Linked DNA regions of Medicago truncatula. The protein of the gene in region 1 binds, or shares a complex with, the protein of each later gene. Links are inferred from orthologs where the notes say so. Each region holds a gene or a part of one and is shown in the gene's direction. Other genes may lie near its edges.

Region 1 (7,430 bases):
TGCTTTTTGTCCCTAAACTTGATGAAAACTTAATTTATCAGCTTATTTACTTTTGAGGGACAAAAATGTTTTTCTTATTTTGAGAAGGACTAAAACGAGCTTCTCATATTTATATGTGAGACTAAAATGAGATTTTCTTATTTTTAATTATAATAGATGATAGTAATATTTGCATTTAAATGGAACAAAACAAACATTGTTTGTAAGGCCAATGTCAAATGGAAATACCGATATCGTTAGACCTAACGTTTTTCGTGGCTATCCGAATTCGAATCCAGAATCATCCTTTGATGTGCGTAAAATCACTTTATCTGGAGGGAAAAAAAACCATCATAATCCCTATCCATCATTACCATCAAATTCAAAGTGCATAACATTATCAAACTCAATAGCACCCGCAAGTCTAACACACAATGGTCAAATAAATGCAACTTCAAAATCCAAAATATTATGGTAACACCAAAATACAACCAACGAAACATGTAGAAAATCTAAAACACAATCCAACTAGTAAAAACTAGAAAGAAGCAGCAAGAAGATGTTATTTTTTTAAAGTTAGAAATTTTAAAATAAACTATGTGATTTGAAGGGATTTAAAAATATGGTGACCAAATTGTCCCCAAATATATTTTTAGGGACCAAAATATCTCAATTCATTTTAAATATACGTGGTCAACCACATGACAGGAATTTTTTTTTTAGGGAATGACAAGAAATTGATAATATTCCCTCAAAAAAAGAAATTGATAGAACAACTAATATTAGTTTTTTTTTTTTCCTTAAAAAAAAAAAAACTAATGTGTCGTTAAAAAAATTTAAGATGAAATTTACTTTATCCTACAGACGAGAAACTACTTTTGCTTTTGAAATATACTAGAAAACCCTAGGGGGGCGTTTGTTTGACGGTTTAAAATTTCATTCCTGGGATTAACCTTTCCTGGGAAATAATAATGGGCATCTTATTCCTGAGTATTTTTAGAAAATTGTGTTTGGTAAATAATTGTCAGATTCATGGGAATTGTTTGTGATAGTGGGTATATGGGTAGTTATTTCCATTTTAGTACCATTTACATGGGAATCTTTTATTCCCGCCCACTTTCTTTGGGAGTAAAATCATGGGTAAGTGGAAGTTATTTTTTTCCTAGGAATTCTTTATTTTCGGGAGTTATTTTTTTAACTTTGTAACAAACATAGGAATCTATAATTCCAACCTCCATATTCCTGGGAATAATTTTTTAAACCAGGAAACAAACACCCCCTAGATATTTATTTTATTGCAGAAAACTCTAAATTTGACCGTAAAATAAAAAGTAGATTTGAACCCAAATCTAAGCCAAGCTATTTACATACACAATTTGTTTTTTTCAACTAAAATAGATACAAAATGTTGGAACAAATATCTCACGCAAGTTGATTGTTTGAACTAACTCTATCTCCCTGGCTCCCAAGTTGGAACAAATAAATATCTCACGTAAATCTTAAAATATATAGTCAAAGGTTTAATTCTTTATGTATGTATGAAAAAAATCCGATTAAGAGAGTAAAACCCAATTTATTTACCCCATACATTCTTTAACGGAGATTAATCACTAATAAACATCGATGAAAACTTGCTACAAATTTCATTGTAAAAGAAAACCATCAGACTACATTTGTGCTAGATTATGAATTCTTCCCCAACGAACGAAAAAGCTAGATTATATATTCATTAACATGCATTTCTTCCCCTAACTTTATCGTTTAACTAACTTTTTTGCCAAAAAAGAAGAAAACAAACAAACTTCAATAATTGGCCATGTATTAAAAATGCTTAAAAAATAACATCCATGCATTTCCTTAACCTTAAAATTTCAAAGGCCTAACTTATATCCTTCTCTTTTCTCTAAACTAAGACAACTTTAACTAACTTTTTTGTCAATAAAAAACAAAACTAATCAACTAACTTCAATAGTTGGCCATGATTTAAAAAATAAAATATAAAAGTGCTTAAAATATGACATACATGTATTCCCTAACCCTTAATAAAATTAATTGCCTAACTTTATATCTTTTCTTTTCTTAATCTAAAATAATTTATTTTGAATTAAATGAGTTATGATAAATCGTTCGAAAGAATTCAAATTATATTTTTAACTGGAATAATTTTTTAATCAAATTTTATTTATCTATCGATTGAATTTTAGACTATTAGGGTGTGTTTGATTTGTAGAACAGTAAGTATTGGACATAACAGTACAAGATAGGACAACACAATATAAGGCAGAACAGCACAATACAAATTTTTATGGTATTGAATAATTTTCTGTATTATTTGATTTTTGGGTGACGAAATGTTATTTTTGTATTTTAGAAAACTTGTACGTGAGACAAAAGGTTGTGCTGTGGTTTGGCGATGGACAAAAATTGCAGCTTTTGTCATGTCCCTTGCCTCCAGTTTGTCATGTCCCTGAAACTGTTTTACAAATCAAACACTGGACAATTGGAGTTGTTTTGTCATGTCCTTCATTTTTTATCAAATCAAACGCACCCTAGACTTTCTTTTTATCAAATAATTTTGTGGTTGAAGCTCGCACATTTTAAACGTGGAGAAATAAGGTTGAAGCTCACACATTTTAAATATGGAAAAATAAGTTCACACATTCTAATAATTGAACTAAGCTCATAGAGATTATTGAACTCTCTTCGTAGAAGCGAACGATTAACATGAAAAAACAATAATTTACTTTCAATAATAATCTATCTAAGTCTAAGAAAAATCCAAAAGAAAAAGTGTTCATTTTTCACCTCACACTAACAAAAGAAAAAAGTGACGTGTCTAAAGACCCACAATGCCACGTGTCCATAACCGATAATGATGAGGTTTCTTAACGTGTGGTCATCACATTCCATAATGTTCCTTCTTACGTTACTATTATGTTACATTTTTCCAATGAATCGGTGTTACTCAGTTAGATATTTTCGCAACACACAAAATTACAAAAACATAGTTATCAATTCTCACCAAAATCACAACAATAAATAAACCAAACATGTTACATGAATTCAACACATTTATGTACCAATAATATTGTAACATTTTTATGAACTTTTTATCTTAAACATGGCTACTACAATTGTTAAGCTTCAAGTTTTTCCAGAGTGTAATTTGAATAAGCATAAGCTTAGAAATGGATTTGGTAGCTCAAATTCTTCATCTGGGGTGTTTGGTTTTGGACAAAATTTTGGTGGGTTGTGTTTGAAAAAGTGTAGGGCTTTCAAGAGTGAAGATGGTGGTGATGTGAAGGAGAAAAAGTTGAGAAATTTGAAGAAAAATGAAGTGAAAGTTCAAAGGGAAAATGGGTTTTGGAGTAATTTTAGAAATGTTTTGTTGGGAAATTTTATGATGGGTTCTAAGTTGGATGATGAGTATAGACAAGCTGTTGTTAGGGTTGATGAAGTTCTATCTAAGGTGAGTTCTTGTTTTTGATGTTTTATCATTTTTTAATCTGTTTGGATAATTAATTGTTTCATATAGCATAAGCACTTATCATATATGTATTTATGTACTAGTTGTTTGTTAGGGTTGATGAGGTTCTATCATTCTTGATTCTGTTTGGATTACCAACTTAATTGAGTGGTTTTAGCATATAAGTGCTTATGGATACGCTATTTCTATAACAAAAGATAAAATTAAGTGTTTATCTATAACTTGTTTTCATATGTTATCTTGGAGAGTTTGGAAACTTATGTATAGCTTATTTCTATTACAAAAGATAAAATAAGTGCTTATCCATAAGTTGTTTTCTTAAATTATCTCGGAGAGTTGCAGGAAATAAGTTGAAAATAGCTTACAGAAATAAGTTAAAAATAAGCTGAAAACAGAAGTTGTTTTCATAAATTATTCCAACCAAACAGTCTCACAAGTACTTGGTGTCACAAGTGCTTATTCTAGTAGATAAGCTCAAATAAGCAAATCCAAAAAGGCTCTTGCTGTGTTGTGTTATTTCCACTTAATTTTTACTTTCAATTTTGTGTTGTATTGTATTTTGAATGTTGAATATAACCGTGTTCTTGTATTTGTGAAAACAAGATTGCTGTTCAGATTGGGAGATATATTGTGACCATGATGAGCACTGGTGTCATCCTTGCAATTGGATTTCAGATGTCAGGTTGGTATATATATTCTACTTTCCTATTTTAGAATGTGTATTGAAAATATTTGCACTTATAGTCGAGTTTCCAACTATAGTGTAAACAAGTTTTACACTAACGTTCAATCATACCTCATATCATATATGATGTTGATTTTTTGGAAATTTTGTGAAGGTGGAGATAGTCAGATGGATGCACTGATATGGTATAGTTGGCTTGGAGGAGTTATCATTGGGACAATGATAGGTGCTAACTGGGTGTTGGAGGATTATTGTCGCGAAGGTCCGCGTAATGTTGTCATAACTGGAAGGTACGTTCACTCACTGATAGTATTCTAGAAATTGATTTCCAACATTTTTAGCTTTATTTGGATGCATGTTTAAAAAAAATTAATGCTGACATTGCTTTATTTGTGTGCAGTACGAGGGGATTGGGGAAAGCTTTGGCGCGGGAGTTTCTTCTTTCGGGAGATCGTGTGATTGTTACTTCACGAAGGTGGTATCACAAACTATGAGAACATTTTATAGAGATCAAATTAATATATTTTGTTGCTCACAACGTGTTTTTGCTCCCGCTCTCGAATTTTGTGAAGGCAGCCCTGAGTCTGTGCAAGCAACTGTCAAAGAGCTTGAGGAAAATCTAAAGGAAGGCATTGCCAATGCAGTTGGTTCATCTTTGACAAAGCTTTCTCAAGCAAAAGTTGTAGGCATTGCTTGTGATGTTTGTGAGGCTAATGATGTTCAGAGATTGGCAAACTTTGCTGTCAGCGAACTTGGTTATATTGACATTTGGGTAAGTGTGGCTGTTCTTTCTGTTGAGAACTATGTAGCTCTGACACTTGAGATTGAATGTGTCTTTGACACTTGACACGTGTCGGCATTAGACGCCAACAAGATACTGACACACGTGGTTACATTCAATCACTTTCATTTTCTTAAATAATATTTTTACAAGTGTCAGCGTGTCAGTATTAGTATCTTGCTCGGTGTCTGTGTCAGTGTTTCATAGATTGAGCATCATTGAGCTAATGAACCCTACTATCGATTTTGTTATCACTTCAATGAAAGTTTTATATTGGATTCCTTATTTCTTGCTGAGTGTGGTTTCTGCTTTTTGGTCCTAATCTAATTTTTCGTATTGTATTTTTATTCAAACTACTCAACAGATAAACAATGCTGGAACAAATAAAGGTTTTAGACCATTGCTTCAATTCAGCGATGAAGATATCAAACAGGTATGTTGCTACATAATTTCTTTTTTATTTTGTTAGAATATAAAGGCTGTTCATCTTCATCCTTAGCTTGAAAAGTTGGTTTATTTCTGTAGATTGTCTCGACAAATTTGGTTGGTTCTATCCTTTGTACCCGAGAAGCCATGCGTATTATGAGAAACCAAACCAAGCCAGGCCACATATTTAATATGGACGGTGCAGGTTCTGGAGGCTCTAGCACACCTCTGACAGCCGTGTGAGTATTCTCTTGATATTGTTGTTTCTTATCTTGGGATGTTAATTCCACTGAGCTTTTGCGATTTAAGGGCTTGTTTACTTTTTCATGATTCCTGTTTTCATTTTTACTTCAACTAATAAACATGATAGAATATAGATTCAATACTCTTCTCACCATTTCCTTTTACAGTTGTTAAAAACAGATTCAACATTTTTTAAGAAATTTTGAAGATGCCAAAAATTGTTTTTGCTGTTTCTCAAAATGCATTCTCCCTAACTATCCTTCTATCTTCTCTCTATCACATATATTCACTACATCAGTCTTCTACCACGTTGTTAGCAATTTAAAATGAACACAAATTTAAGTTAATGAAAATACAAGTAAGTGAGACATTCTTCATTTTTACTCGAAATATGCGTGATTGCGTGTATCTATGAGTGAGTGTTCTCAAAAGTCCTGGTGGATGATGATTTCATTTGTTGTGTAGCTATGGTTCTACAAAATGCGGCCTTAGACAATTTCATGGATCACTATTGACGGAGTGCAAGCGATCGAAAGTAGGTGTCCATACTGCATCTCCCGGCATGGTTCTCACAGAACTTCTTTTAAGGTAACATCTCTATTTGCAAACTTGTATTGTTTTTTCGCATGGACCGCGTACCGAAATCTTCTTCTGTAGGAATTTCCAACTTCTTTTTCTGTTGTCAACTATATTTTCAACTCGTCTTTTTTAATCTTATAATAACGAATAGCATTCTCGTGTTTGTCTGTGTAACTTTCTCTGATCTAAGTTAAATTAGTTTAATAATTGTTAGAAGTGTGGCTTTATTTGCACAGTGGTTCAACTATTCAAAACAAGCAAATGTTTAATATCATATGCGAGCTTCCTGAAACTGTTGCTAGAACATTAGTTCCACGGATGCGAGTCGTTAAGGGAACAGGCAAGGCCATCAATTACTTGACTCCTCCTAGAATCTTGCTTGCCTTGGTCACCGCATGGTTACGGCGAGGTCGCTGGTTTGATGATGAGGTATGTAATGACGATTATTTTGAGGTTGAAGTACACTTTAATTACTTGGTATTCTTTCATGTAAATGCTCATCTTTGAATATATTAATTAGGCTAAATTACACTTTTGGTCGCTTAAGTATTTTCCTTTCATTTTAATCCTTTAACTTACAAATGTTAGTCACTTTGGGCCGTTAATATTTTTTGGTTTCATATTAGTCCCTTAAGTTACAAATATCAGGCACTTAACATCATTTCTCAGTTTTCTGTTTGAGTCTGTCAAATGTTTCCTACTTGGCATTATATTTTCGACCTTGGTGATTAGAAATTTGAAGAACTAAAACGGAAAACTGACATAAAAGAGCAAAGTGAAACTTAAAAATAACTGAAGGGACCAAAAGTGAAATTTATGCTAGTAATTGCCTATGAATCACTGACACGGACACAAGACACGGCACAAACACATAGTGATTGATAGTAATTTTAAAAATAGAAGTGATTCAATGTAATTGCATTTGTTGATGTTCTGTCAGACAATCTGTTTCATACACGCTTACAATATAATTGTGATTAAGTTGTTTTGTAACAACTCTCTTGATTAAGCTGTGTGTTCCTCATGGACAAAATCCATTTTTCCATAGCAATGAAATTGTTGAATAATTTAGCAAGATTGCAAGAACTTAGAGCTATATGCATATTTCAGGGAAGAGCATTATACTCAGCCGAAGCAGACCGACTAAGAAACTGGGCCGAAAACCGCGCACGGTTTTCCTTCACCGATGCAATGGAAATGTACACAGAGAACACATGGTTATCAGTCTTCTCACTTTCAGTTGTTTGTGC
Region 2 (7,430 bases), on another chromosome or scaffold:
TGAAATTCTTTACAATATATTTGTTTTAGCTCACATTTTATTTGCCTACTTGCTAGCATTTGTCCCTGCAAGAAGCTTTAATTAAAACCAAATGCACATGCTATGACTAAACATGCATCCTTAATTTGATTTCACTACGTATGACTAATTACTATATGTACATAATTTTACTGTGGTCCCTTCATCACGTGTTGTACATATATATATTGGCAACTAGTGTCTCATCATCAGATTAAATACTTCCTTTGAATAATCATTCGGTTATAAAATAATTGAGTTTTCTTTTAGGACAAGACATTTCTCCGAATCTTAAGTTCAGACTTTAGACCATACATATTTATCAATATTGATAGAGATAGCTGGTCTTGCATATTTAACTTGTTCCGCAATTTGTCTGTTGGAGAACAGACGATGCATTTTTTGTCAACTTCCCCATGTTAATTAGAGTTTGAACAAAAAGTTTGAAGGGGTTAAATTATGCATATATGTCTAGTAGTACACATTGTTGATATGATTGCATATATTTTATAGGTTTAATATTTTAATGTTGTCCTTATAAAGGTTTAAGTTTAAGGGTTGCCCGTCTTATTTTATTTAGGGTTTTTGTATGTTCATTTCTAAATTCAAGATTAATTTAGTAGCTCTTCATTTTTGTTAATCTCTAACATTTGTCCTTTTTTGTGCGAAAGTCAGATATGTTGAATTCAAAAAAAAAATTGAAGTTATAATAATAACAAGTGATATGATGATGTAGCAATGTCTAATTGGATTGAGCATAACTTATATGCATCCATGTTTTCAAATTTAAATTGAAATTCACCTAAAATAAAATAAATGCATTTCAAAAATTAAATTATTCATCAAAAAACTAATTTTCATAAAATTTCTCTTTTCGCTAGATTCAAACCGGAGATCTTCAAGGTTGAAGAACAAATTTCAAACCATAAACATCTTGAAAAACCCGGGTATAGCCTAACACGAGGAAGAAAACAACATATATGAAGAACGATGATTGTAGATTTGGAGATTTAGGGTTGTAATATATCTCAATCTGTTTTTTTTTAGTTTTAATTTTGCAACTTAAATTTGTTATTTTAATTTTGGGTTATTAAATAATGGCATGTCTTGTAATTACACATGTAGATTAAGACACATCAACAACATATATGCTATATCATTATAAAGGAGACGCATTTTCTAATTTGTGGACAAATTTTGTACGGAGGAATCAAAACTGAATGATTTTGAAATTGATAACCAATTATATAAACGGATCAAAATAGAGGGATCAATACTATAATTAAACAATTTATAAAAAAAAATATTATTAATTTTTTTTTGAGAGAAAAAGAAAAAATATTATTAATTGATGATAACTAAATTTATTTGATTAAAATATTTAATCTAATTTAATTATTAACGAATAACTCTTGATTGAATTAACCACCTACTAAAATCAATCAATTATTAGCCACCCCACTCCCACACAGTCCCTCCATCCGGCGATATCATATACCTTCCAACTAGCATCTATCTTCCACAAAATTTAATTTCAAAATCATTACAATATATCATATTCAATTAGCATTTTGGGCACACCAGATATTTAGAATCATGAAGCCAAAGAAAAAGATGTAGCAATTTGGATGAGTGAACCTAGCACAACGGGTGGTTGTAGTATAAAACAAATTGAAAAGAAAGAAAGTACAAAGAAGTAGGGTTAATCGTGTATGATGAGTTCGAACTCGGTCACCACATCTTTTATGATTGTGTATGTGTGTTCAATTGAGTAAGTATTGGCAGCTAGACCAGATACAAAATAAAATATAATTTATTGTAATAATATAAAAACTAATGAATCGTGAAAATCTCTAGCAATTTCAAAATTTTGTATCATACAATTAGAGATGATTTAGATTTTTTTTTGTAACAACCATTGAGATAATCTTTCAGCCTCTTCAATAAGAAAAATCTTTCAAGTTCATCTTTTGATTGAACCTTAACATTTTCAAAATAAGATAATGATATATGTTAATACTAGTAGGCTGCATAAAGAGAAGGTATTCTTCCTCTCAAGGGACAGAAACGCATTTATCATATTAATACAAATATACAATATGTTGTAATTCATTGATTTTTCTCTTTGGTTTGGCTGGCTTGGTAACATTAATATATGTATTTACAATCTCAATTTTATATGTGGGAATACCACTTGGAAGTGGGGGAGTTGGAGCTTGGTTTATTTGAATGGACTTGTCACTCTTGTCATCAAGATGTGCTAGTGTATTCACTGCATAAGGGAATGAAAAGTATTTAAAAGAGAGATATATTAAATTAAAATAAATTTTAAGACTAATTCAATTTTTATTTTCATTTTATAGTTTCTCATGAATAATAAATAAAACATTTGTTATTACATGTTAAAATAAAAAACAAATATGTATAAAAAGTATAATCAAATTATCGATGCTAAAATAGGGCGCAAATGGAAATATTAGGCCTATTGCAAAAGTCCATCAAACAAAAAAAACATGAAAATTGCTTTTCTCACATCAAGTTTTGCTTAAAAACACATAGAAAATACCATTTTATCTCCGGCCGTAGTTAACTAGCGCTCAGTAAGCGAGTTGTGGTTAACTACCGCCGAGCTAGTTGTAGTTGGCTCAGCTGCATTTAAGTGCAGTACCTGACAGAACATCAATTGCAATTTTGCGCATTTCAATCAAAAAATCAAAATAAGTCAAGACTTATTCGGAATGCTATGAAACTTTGAAATCCCCTGTATATATTTTTATAGAGGTTTCTGCAAAGTTTCCATAGAATTTCAACTAAGCCTTGATTTATTTTGATTTTTCGATCGAAAAGCACAAAATCGCAATTTTTTCCCAAGTGCAAGTCCGAAAAAGTGACATAGAGGTCGAATTTTTTCATTATTTTTCGCACACATGTCTAGGACATAAAAACAACATCTCCAACACAAAAATTATAATTACCCAACAAGGGATGAATTAAATATGATTTTTTAATGCGCCAAAAACTCAAGAAACCAAAATTTCAAAACATCGACCTAGAATTCAATGTTAGAGATTGTTTTTTAAAAGACTCCTCTATAAAAATACATATAGAGGATCGGTAAAATTTCGTAGCATTTTGAATAAGCTCTGCTTTATTTTAATTTTTTAACCAAAATGCACAATATCGCAATTGATGCTTTGCCAGGAACTTCAATTGAGGTAAAAATTATATTTTCCATGTGTGTAAGGGTATTGTTAACGAGTGCCTTTAGCACACTTGTTAAGGATCCAAAAATAGACACAATTGATAATTTTTATGTAAATAAAGTTGCTTTTTAATATTTTCAATGTGTTAAATACACAATTTTCAAGATAAAATTTCTATTTTTTTAACATTTCCTTTTAAGTAAAACTTGATGTGAGAAAAATAATTTTCAAAAAACATTATTAATGACAAAAAAAAGAACATAAAAAGTAGAAAAACAATAAAGTACAAAGACATAAACATTTGTCTTTGGTTACACAATGGTAGTGATGATCTGTAGCCATTTCCAACATTCATCACTTTCCATCTTATCTTCTTCTTCTTCTTCTTTTTCTTCATCAAGGTTATATCTTTCCACTTCTCGTTCTTCTGTTTCTTGCTCTATAATGGATACTCAGAAGAAGCAAGGTCGTAGCAAATTTTTGGAATTTCCATTTGTTTCAGCACCCCACAAGAATCTCATGCTTGATCTTGTTTCAACAGTTGAAGATCGCTTTGAATCTCATCTTCTTCCTTGTTCACTTCCTCCTGATGTTCAATACTATAAGAGCAAGAATGGTACTTCTCAAGTTTCATTGCATATTAGACCAAGCAACACTGATTCCCCTGTAATTTCCTTTCTACTTTTTGCTCTCAAAATTCCATATTTTCAAGTTAGAGTATATATATTTGGTTGAGAACTAGGTACTTAACTTATTGTTATGTTATTTTATTAGGTTAAGTACACTAAATATTTATCATAGATTATGTTAACGTTTTTAATAAATATTTATCCAAACTCACTTTAGACACTCTATCAACCATGTTTCTCCTCTAAGGTGAGTAGTTACTAAGATGAGAAAAATTAAGAGTTGTGATTTCAACCACTTAATTTGGTTATTTGCATAATACATTAGCAATATGATAGGTAGACATCTTTAATGCGTACATCCCTTTGTACCACTCTAAAAAATTTCAGTTGATCAAATATATGGTATGTGTAATCACATTTTTTTAGTTGCGTGACCACTAGTTTTCCAAAATTTATTTGGTTAACTAAGTGGAAAAATAGTGGTCACGTGCATTTTAGTTGCGTGACCACATTTTTCAGCTTCTAATAGGAGTCACGCAACTGAAAAATGTGGTCACACAAACACTGAAAATTTTCAGAGTGATACAAAGGGGTGTCTATCAATCTTTATTCTTGTTGTTAATAGTTGATATCAGTAACTTTACTCTCTAAAATTAGTTGCTTACTTTAGATAATGACGGACCACTGAATCAAATTGGCAATGTAGATTTTTATTTTCTCTTTTCTACGTTTCTTGAATTTGAATAATTTACATTTAATATTGTAGCCTAAGCCTTGATTAACTATCATTACATATATACTTATCTTTCTTATACGGAGAAGATAGTTATTTTAGCAGTGTCTTGTGATTCTTAAAGTATTGCACTGATTGGTAGATGTAATAGTTCCTTAATTGTGATTGTTTGGGTAATTTTTTTGTATGTTGTTGAGATTATTTTAATTACTTGTTAAGGAAATCATTAACTTATCTATCTAACTATCTACAAATAGGCACTGCAGATGTCCTCACATCTACTTTTCTTCATAAATGATTTGTTATTTCAGTGAACTTCCTTATGTTGAAGAAACATAATGTTCATGAGGCCTGTTTGGATTAGCTTATTTGAGCTTACCTACTGACATAAGCACTTATGCAACTGTTTGATAGAAATTCTCAAAACAATTTATGACATGTCTATAGCTTGTTTTCAGCTTATTTTTCCATTAGTTCTCTAGGATAGGTTTATGAAAACAGCTCCATAGAGTATATAAAAATATTTTGACTCAATTGATTGTTTTATTATATGTTAAGTGCTTATGTTATAAGCGTTTAACCAAGTTGTTTATCCAACACGTGGTCTAATTATTGTTTTATTCTGAATTTGTTGTTCACTGTTCATTTTTGTTGTTGTTGTATGTCTCAGATAGACTTTGTAATGGGAAGCTGGGTGCATGCTGAGCTACCAACAGGAGGATCATTAGATATAACATCTCTTTCAGCCTATCTTAACAGTTCAAATGATGCACCAAATTTCGTGTTCGAGCTGATCCGAAGCAGTCCAACAATGCTAATTCTTGTTCTTGATTTACCACCTCGAAAAGACCTTGTTCTTTGGCCAGATTACCTTAAAACTTTCTATGAGGACACTAAACTGGATACACATAAACAGGCTTTGGAAAAAATTCCAGAGGTTCAACCTTATATCACTTCTTCGCTTTTCATCCGCAGCGTTGCATCTCCAACGGCTATATTTGTTCGCATTCAGACAGAAAATGATGAAGGAGAGCGGATAGACGAGATCATCAAGAACCATATTGACCCGGTTTCGAAGCAAGTGTTGGGGATATGGTTGGATCATTGTGCCTGTGCCGAGAGAGAAGTAGGAGAGGAAGATAAAGCTTATCTGATAAAAAGAGATGGTGTTATTAGAAACAAGACTATTGAGGTTGATCTTGGTTCAAGCTTTCCAAGGTTGTTTGGTCCAGAAGCAGCAAAACAGATACTGGAAGCTATCAAGGAGTATTTTACTGTTTGAGATGCAAGTTTATTTGGAATTGTAAATGATAGTTTGTACTTTGAAAGAGTTGTGTGCTTCTGCGACTTCGAAAGAGTTTGTAGTATGAATTAGATATCTGTGTAAGTATTTTACTAGCATTACTAAAGCTTATTAATTAAGTGAGTGATATTTTAATTTCATATGTTTGTCTGCGATAATTGCTTTGTGCGTTTGTTGGTGGTGTTAGAATGGTTCAAATCTTTTTCATTTCCACTTCAAGCAACTGTCCCCTACTTGAATGTTATAACAAGAAAGGTCTCCTATGTCAAAATTTGTGTTAGGCTTCACTTACTTTTCAAGATTATTAGACCGGCTCTGACCAATTGTCTTTAAGTTTCTGACGAATTGTCTTTAAATTTCTTAACAAGTATATTTATATCACGGTCACCGCCGTCCAAGCCAAAGGAATCAATACATCATGGTTGCCGTCGTCCAAGCCAAAGCAATCAGATAGTCAAAAATATTATCACCACCAAAAATAACTTGAACATCATCACTACATACACTCAGCTCCTCCACCAAATGAATTCCATATAACACCCCGTCGACCATAATCTCTTTTAACATCGTTAAATAACATCCAAACATTATGAACCCATTTGTGTTGGTCTGGTGTTGTTGGTTTCGATATTTGAGTGTTCTCTTTTCGATTCTCACCGGTGCCAATTTTAGTAGGCTAGTTTGACTTCTTAAAAAAACATCAAACATTGTCTTTTTTGTAGAAATAAAAACACAATTTATTTTGTTCAAAATGTTTGTAAGGTCTTTTTTGGATCTTCGAATACATTAGTGTTTTAATCTCTTAACTATTTATTTGATTTCACTTTGCTCTACCAAAAACCTCAATAAATTTTTTAATGTAAACCATTTGATTTTTAATTTTGTTAAAAATGAAATCATTGGATCTTGCATATTACTATATCTTATAACCAACCATTTTCCTCCTCTTTTCTTCATCCCCTTCTTCTCTATCTTCATCCCCATCTTCACAAATCTTCATCATATTTATAAAATTAACCCAAAAAATTAAAAAATCCAAAAGAATAAAAAACTCAAATTCATTCTAATATTCTTAATGTTCTTTATTTATTGTTTTCTTTGTCATTCTAGAAAGAAGAAAAAAATCTTAAATTGGGTGCGTATCCACTCCTTATTTTGCAATCCGATCAAATCTCATATTTACACCCAAGTAAAAAGAAAAATACACTCTTATTTTTTATTTTGGTACAATAAAAATAATAATATCTAAGACACTGTAATTTAATTTTACATAGTCAAAAAACATGTAATTTAAGTTTAATCGGAATAACTGGTTTTTGATGGCAAATGTTACGCCATCACTTGTCGAGAGAACTTGGCTACAAGGGGAATGACAGTTACCGAATGAGATTCAGATTGCTCGATAGCCAAATGTGGTATCATATATTTGCGTAGCGTGGGGTGACAATGATACTCCCGTCGGATTTGTTTGCATTGTTGGTGAGTTGTTGCTTCTTCCGTAACAAGAAGGTCACCTAGGGTTTGTTGTTGGTATGGCACACAAT

What was found. The genes of interacting proteins can lie anywhere in the genome.
Region 2: probable chlorophyll(ide) b reductase NYC1, chloroplastic (region 1) and red chlorophyll catabolite reductase, chloroplastic share a complex: the UniProt entries of both Arabidopsis thaliana proteins name them as parts of the SGR1-CCE-LHCII complex. The link is inferred for Medicago truncatula from reciprocal best matches to the Arabidopsis thaliana genes NYC1 and ACD2.

Annotation. Positions count from the first base shown.
Region 1 is NC_053047.1:40,286,614-40,294,043, forward strand, and holds the start of probable chlorophyll(ide) b reductase NYC1, chloroplastic, read left to right. Parts: upstream 1-2,953; 5' UTR 2,954-3,100; coding exon 3,101-3,448; intron 3,449-4,069; coding exon 4,070-4,148; intron 4,149-4,305; coding exon 4,306-4,441; intron 4,442-4,551; coding exon 4,552-4,626; intron 4,627-4,727; coding exon 4,728-4,923; intron 4,924-5,296; coding exon 5,297-5,365; intron 5,366-5,457; coding exon 5,458-5,597; intron 5,598-6,066; coding exon 6,067-6,189; intron 6,190-6,416; coding exon 6,417-6,609; intron 6,610-7,290; coding exon 7,291-7,430. UniProt on the Arabidopsis thaliana protein: Involved in chlorophyll b degradation. Belongs to the chlorophyll catabolic enzymes (CCEs).
Region 2 is NC_053046.1:43,224,118-43,231,547, reverse strand, and holds red chlorophyll catabolite reductase, chloroplastic, read left to right. Parts: upstream 1-3,507; 5' UTR 3,508-3,539; coding exon 3,540-3,887; intron 3,888-5,253; coding exon 5,254-5,865; 3' UTR 5,866-6,044; downstream 6,045-7,430. UniProt on the Arabidopsis thaliana protein: Catalyzes the key reaction of chlorophyll catabolism, porphyrin macrocycle cleavage of pheophorbide a (pheide a) to a primary fluorescent catabolite (pFCC).